Linked DNA regions of Caenorhabditis elegans. The protein of the gene in region 1 purifies or fractionates together with the protein of each later gene. This does not show direct contact. Each region holds a gene or a part of one and is shown in the gene's direction. Other genes may lie near its edges.

Region 1 (3,756 bases):
AAAGGAGCTCTGATGACACTGCTGGAAGTGATGGAGGCGAGGAAGAGGACGGCCGGGAGGTGGATTGCATCGCTGAAAGAGAAATTGAAATCAGCAAAAGTTACTTAGAGGATGAACATACCTGATTGTAAGGTGATAAAGTAATTGCAGAGAACTTTATGATATTCTTCTGCACTTTGTGGGTATTTTTGGTTATTATTGTTGATGTTGATGATGGTGTCCATTCTCTGAAAATTCACAAATTTAAAGATATCAAGAAATAATTAGAAGAAAAAATGTAAAAAATTGCAGAAGAAATAATCGAATAACGTTGCAAAATGACAGAATGACAGTTCTAGACAAATGAATGGCTAATGGTGGACGCTGTGAGAGATGACTGACCTCTACGTATGGGAAGATGTATTTGAGCTGATTTATGGTGGGGGTGCATCTTCACTTGATTCGTATCGATCGAGAAAACAAGGGGTTGTAAACCAAAAGGTGAAAATGGAGCAGGTGAGGAAAGTGGAGACATCGATTTTTTTTGAAAATAGTTTCTCAGATCTTAACTCTTTTGAAAAATATGTAACACGAATAGTTTGTCAGTTATTAATTTTTGAAAAAAAATCAAAAACCGCCGAGACTTGAGCTCTTGAATTTGAGCATCTAGGAGACGCACTGAAAAACTATCGAACGTTGCCAATACTTGGTAAAAAGTACTAAACTTAGGTTAAACGTTGCCGAAAATTGGAGAAAATACGCTAAAATTGTCTGGAAAACTGCCAACGTAGGCTGCAAAGTTACTAGGGTAAATTTTAGCTAGTGGGAAAAATGAAAGTCATAGGAAATTCCTATTAGGTACATTAGGTATTAGGTATTAGGCCTAATTATCTGGAACAAATATCTTTTTTTTCGGCATTTTCTCAACTTTGTCGGAGCACTGCTCCGGGAGTATGCATGACACGTATTTTTAAATATGCTAGAATTGTAGGCAATTGTCGATTTCATATTCTGATAAAGTTTAAAAGAAAAAATATAAAGGAATTTCTAGCTAGGTCGCTTTAACTGGAACAAATCTCCTATTTTTAGGCCTAAACTCGACTTTGTCGACGCACAGCACCGCAAATATAAATACCACGTGTTTTTGAATATACTAGAATTGTAGCGAATCGTCGATTTAGTATACTGAAAAAGTTTAAAGGAATTTCCAGCCAGCTCAGTTTTGCCGAAATTGTAACCATATTTTTAGGTGCTTTTTCTCGAAAACGAAGTCGGCAAGAGGGTATAAAATATATTAGAATTGTAGATCTCAATTCGATTAGTGTATTCGTGAAGTTTAAGAAAAAAAAATTTAACGAAATTTTGAGATATTTAGGTCGAAAGATTGTCATTTTATCAATATTTCATCGTTGTTTTTCTAAAACAGAGCAAAACTATTTTAAATTCTATTTTTACAAATTCGCAGGAATGACACTCAATTTGCTTACTTCCAAAAAAATATTCTAAAAAAACTGAATCAAAGCTAAAAAAGAGCTGAAACAAAACATAGGCACACAGAAAGAAGTTTCAAAATTCAAGCCTCTCGCGTGAGAATAAATTAAATTTTGGAACATCTTTTTTTGAATTTTTGTTAAAAATTCCACACCGTGTAGGTATATGCAAATAGTACTAAATAATTCTGCAATTTTACTCAACAAAAACCTTATTGAAATTCAAATTGAAAATTATAAAATAATACGTTTTTAACATTTTGACACAATTTTAGACATTATAAATAGACAAAAAAATTTCAGAAACGAAAAAAAAACATAACCAAGTAAAAACGTATTAGTGACCACAGAGAACCACAAATAAGATGCAATGTGTCCATAAAATTGGGAGGAATACTATTGACCTGTGCAAATGGGAGGACCCTGTATACGTGACGATGACGGGTCGCCTGTGTGGAGATGCAGGTGTTGTGGTTCCAAATATGATATTGATTTATTTTCATTCAAATCTCTTTATTCTTTTATACAAATTTCCAAAAACAATTGGGCACAATGATAAGAAAAAGGGGATTTTGTGGAAAATTGAATTTAAAAAAAAACGTGTTTTTTTCAATTTTAAATATCACATTTCTGTTTTATTTTTCCAACTCCGTGCAAATTCATATTCACGTCTAGTCCGGGCGAGACCCGCAGCCTTTTTGACCACACGCCTGCAGCGGCAAAAGATAAAGGCGGAGCCGATCTACAGGCGTCTCTTTTTCTCTGCACTCTCTCTCCCTCTCTACATCACTCTCAGTGCATCAATTTTCTAATATACAACTATTCTCCATCCGTCACCCATCTGCCGTTTAGTCATCTGAAGAACTTCCCAAAAAATGGTCGGTACGCAGCAGAAGACTCGCCAGCAACTGGAATCGACGATCGAAGAGCAAGAGGAAACTATCAAGGAGCTCCAACTGATGTTGGGACAGGCCGAATATGAGCATTGTGAGTTGGAAATAATTTATTTCAAGGTCTGACCATTTCAATAATTTCCAGTGAAGAAAGTCACCGAACTGGCAAAAATGACCAAAAACCGAGACTACATGACCGAATGCGAGGCAACTTCTCACGCTGTGAACGTGAAGCTCGAGAGGGAGAACAAGAAGCTGAAGGATGAGCTGGCGCGCAAGGATGCGGAGATTATGATGCAGAAGGAGAGCGGCGACGGTGGTGGTGGAAGTAGCGTGAGCGAAACTTGGAAGGATCACTTGAACGAGGCGAATCGGAAATATTTGGATGAAAGGAAGAAGGGAGGTAGGCTGGATGTTTCAATTCTTAAAGGATTACTCATTGGCTTAGGCTTAGGCTTAGGTGTAGGTGTACGTGTAGGCTAAGGCTTAGGCGTAGTCTTAGGCTCAGGCTAGGCAAGGCCGAGGCTTAGACTTAGTCTTAGGCTTAGGCTTAGGCCTATTTTCTCTCAGATTTAGGTTTAAGCTTAACTTTTCCATACCATCAAACCGAACTTCCAAATGTTCCAGAAGCTGCCCGTGTCACGTGGTCCACTCTAGTCCAGAAGCTGATGTCCGAAGCATGCCAACGCGAGACGAAGATGCTGGAAGCGAATGAGAAGTTGAAGGCAGAGTTGGCGGAGCTGCGGAATCAGATGTTCGAGCTGGAGGCCAACTCGGAGAACCTGAAGAGACCGGCGCTGAGCGATGGCTATCTGGCTAAAAAGTCGGCGAGGCTCTACTTGAGCAGTGTTGGTCTTTAGGGAAATTGTAACAATAATAATCACTTTATTTTTTGTGTTTTGCAATTCATCTTGTATTGTTTATGCTGGAAATATGATTTTTTTGTTCATTCTCATCTATGTTCTTCAAAACTATTCTTCAAAGAAATAAATGTTATTTTAGAGTAAAAAACCAGGAATGAGAATCGGAAAATCATGAAGATCAGGAAACAATTTCAGCAGAAGTCTTGTGCAAGCTCATGGAGCATGTGGCACATCTTATGAACGAAGGTTATGATTCTCCTTTTGATCGAGCTGATCATAGGCATCCATGAGTTGAAGTGAGAATTGTGGCGGCTTCAGGAGACTCTTTAGGATAGTTGCGGTGATTTGGATGCTTTGCTGGAAAATTGGAAATATTGTTATTATGTACTGAAACAAATGGTGATTAGGGTACCTTCGTCAAATTACCAATATGCTTCCGGAGTATGCAAAGAAAATGTAAAAGAATATTAAAGCTATTGAGGAGGTATGTTTTCAAAATTGAAAAGTTCGTGGACTTCCAAAAACCGTTTT
Region 2 (3,304 bases), on another chromosome or scaffold:
CTTCTGCGCCCAAGTCTCTTGAATCTTCTTTTGTTCTTCTTTTGGCGCTTCAGAGCGTTTTTCAAATTCATCAAGATTCTTGTCGGCTTCCTCGTTAGCTGTTTTCTCTATTTCAAGCAACTGTTCCACTTCTTCCTGACATTTTGCGATTTTTCTCTCCGCCTTTTCGGGTGCTGCTTCCAGATTTGATCGCTTTTTAACCTCTTTTTCCTTCTCAGCTTCCGCCTTTGAAATATTAGCTTGATGCCTTTTCAAAGCCTCCTTCCTGCGAGTCTCTTCAGTGCCCAAGTCGCTCAATTCCTTAGATAGACTATCAAAGTTTTTGTCGAGTTTCGAACGCTCTTCAATCATAACTTTCTGAGCTTCCTCAGATTGTTTGTATTCGTTTTTGTTGGTATCCAGCGTTTCAGCAATCGATTTCATTTCTTCTTTCATCTTGTCAAGTTCGGCTTGTTTTGGAGCAATTTTATCTAGGTATCGTTGCCTTAAAACGTTAAATGTTATTTTAACCTGGAATATTTCAGAACTACCGTCTTCTTTGCTCCAATTTCATATGAATCGTTGTAGCCTCGTTTTCTTTCATCAGAAACTCAATTGCAGCTCTAACTGGATTCTCCATAGCTACTTTGCTGTTTCTGGCGTGATCACGAGCGATTCTTTGTTGAGAAAGATCACAAGTAAGACGATTGACGCGTCGCTGGAATAATTTAACAAAGGGCTCGAGTCGGTTTGTTCCGATAATATCCTCCAAATATTCAACCATTCCAGTTTCACTTTTGGTGGTTTTCACTGGTTTCATCATTGCAATTTGTTCGACTTCTCCCTGAAAAAAATGTTTATTACCGGTTTTATTGTCACTTTTACCTGAAGAATTAGAAAACGATTATGCTCAATATCAATGTCAACGCGTCGTAGGCGTGCTTCAACTTCATTCTTCGTTGCCGGTCGACCATCGATAGCATATGAGCTTGAGTTATTTTGAAAAGCAGTTCTAGAGATTGTGAACTCAGAATCCTTGACGACTTCGTAATGCCCAGGCTGAAAAAAAGCAAATTTATATTTTATTAGATTCTCTGATTCACTTACAATATCGACGATCCGCTGAAAATGAATAGTGACTGTGCATTTGTCTGGATTTCTTCCAGCACTTTTGTGAATCAAATTTGACACTTTTGCAGAACGAATTTTGGAAGCACGGAAACCGAAAACGAATAAGAGCGAATCGATTAAATTAGACTTTCCAGATCCATTTGGACCGATAATTGATGTGAAACTTTTGTGAAATGGTCCAATGGAAGCCTTGCCGAAGTAACTCTTGAAATTGTCCACTTCAACATTGCGAATCATCAAACGATCCGCCCGATTCGGTTTTGTAAGGAAATCGGGTCGCGATGGCAGTTGCTGTAAAATGTAATGACTTTAATATTAAAAACAGAGTAACATACCAATGAGAAAAGATCACTGTCGTCGTCCTCTCCGTCGCTTCCATCAAATTTTTCATTTACCGCTCTCTGAATAAAAATTTCAGTTTTATTGCTGCTTTTAAATATTCTGAGAGGGATACCTGTAGTTCTTCTTCCGGGTCCTTTGATCCTTCCTTGTGTCGGTTCACAGGCTTCGTTGTCTTTTTCTGCGGCTTTTTAACAGGAGCGTCATCAAAATCAGAATCAGATTCGTCTGATTGTGGCGGCGCCGCCGAAGTCTTCGGAGGCATCAACCCTAAAATACGTTGATTTTTAGGATTTGAGTGCTTAATATGAAAAAGACATTTCCCAACAAAAACAAAAAGTGGGACAGCAGCGGCTAAACAATTATTGGCGGTGAAATTCGAACAAAATTTTGGCGCGCATACAAGTGTGTGCAAACACCGTGACGCGCAAGTGCGACCCATACATTTAATTATACGACGAGAGCTAGAATGAAGTACGGTAATTAATTAAACATTTCTGAATTGCTTCAACATAAAATAAGTTTTCAAATAAAAATGACAACACCCGCTGTAAAAATGGTTGTCGCGTATGTGACAGCTCCGAGTAAGGAAGTTGCAATGACTGTGGCAAGGTATTTTTTTGTTTTCTGTCTACCAAAACATAATTTCATTTCAGAACAACTGTCACTGAAGCATTAGCCGCTTGCGCCAATGTTATTCCGGAAGTCACATCTGTGTAAGTATTTTATCTTTTTTAAATCTGTGCGAGAATCCAGATATTCAGATACAAATGGCAAGGAAAAATTGAAGAAGATCAAGAGCATGTCGTGATCTTGAAAACTGTAGAAAGCAAAGTCGAAGAGCTATCAGCTGTATGTTTTTATTTCGGATCACTAAGATTTTCATTCAATTTCAGCGTGTTCGATCTCTTCATCCGGCTGAAACTCCGTGCTTCTTCACACTGGCCATTGACAAAATAACTCCCGATTTTGGAGGATGGATTGTGGATTCTACGAATTCTTCAACTGCGAAACATTGAAACTTAAAACTTTATTCATATTTATTTCTACCAACTAAACATTAAATCAACGGGAACTGATAAATACATACAAACAGATTTGGCTAAGGAAAAAAACATCGTAATAAGAAAAAATGCTCCGAAAATTTGAAGATTCCAAAATAACGATTTGAGCATGCTTTTTTGGGGATTGTCTTGAAAGCTTCAAATTTTTTTTTCGAGCGATTCTGATGTGATTTAATGAATTTTTTTCAAAGAGATCGAGTTGAACGGGAAAGACAGGGCTATCATTAACTAGCTAGCGAGCATCACTTCGAACTCCAACAGCTTTGTCTACAATGTTAAGCGAGAAGACCATCGGGACAGCAATCTTGTATGCATGGCGTTTGTATGTATGATAATCATATTCCGTCCAAAATAACTGAAAAACATTGAAATGTTTTCTCATATATGTTCAATCATTCTTACTTTTTGCTCCTGAATAATTATCTCAAAGATCCTATCCATGCTTTTCTTTTCGTTATTGTATTGTGTCTCCCATCCCGGAAAGTCTTCACACATGAACTGAAAATTCGAAGTTGAAAAGAAATCCACTAAAAAAACTCTCACTTTGTGGATGCTGTATGTAGATTCTGAAGCGGACTTTGAACTAACATATTGATAGATCATAGAAAACTCACAGTCTCCAATTTCATGGAAACCGAGAAATTTAATTACTTGGTTGACCTTCACCTTAAAAATATTGATTTACTTTCTTGACCAATCAAAATATAATAGCTTACTCTGTTCATATTCTCAGAATCCGAGGGCATTATCAAGTTGAACTTCACGTAAAGGCTCTCTTCATTCAACAGCGA

Evidence for each region. The genes of interacting proteins can lie anywhere in the genome.
Region 2: the proteins of F19B10.2 (region 1) and F35G12.7 fractionate together in Caenorhabditis elegans (co-fractionation; one large-scale study listed by BioGRID). This does not show direct contact.

Annotation. Positions count from the first base shown.
Region 1 is NC_003280.10:3,673,367-3,677,122, forward strand, and holds F19B10.2 (HOOK domain-containing protein), read left to right. Parts: upstream 1-2,109; 5' UTR 2,110-2,344; coding exon 2,345-2,456; intron 2,457-2,507; coding exon 2,508-2,765; intron 2,766-2,989; coding exon 2,990-3,222; 3' UTR 3,223-3,373; downstream 3,374-3,756. Other genes in the region: sea-1 (T-box transcription factor 18), read right to left, coding at 1-72, 122-224.
Region 2 is NC_003281.10:4,585,916-4,589,219, reverse strand, and holds F35G12.7 (Divalent-cation tolerance protein CutA), read left to right. Parts: upstream 1-1,889; 5' UTR 1,890-1,984; coding exon 1,985-2,061; intron 2,062-2,105; coding exon 2,106-2,165; intron 2,166-2,213; coding exon 2,214-2,301; intron 2,302-2,345; coding exon 2,346-2,468; 3' UTR 2,469-2,682; downstream 2,683-3,304. Other genes in the region: smc-4 (Structural maintenance of chromosomes protein 4), read right to left, coding at 1-484, 531-823, 865-1,038, 1,087-1,401, 1,446-1,511, 1,565-1,714; F35G12.5 (SPK domain-containing protein), read right to left, coding at 2,746-2,868, 2,916-3,011, 3,057-3,179, 3,230-3,304.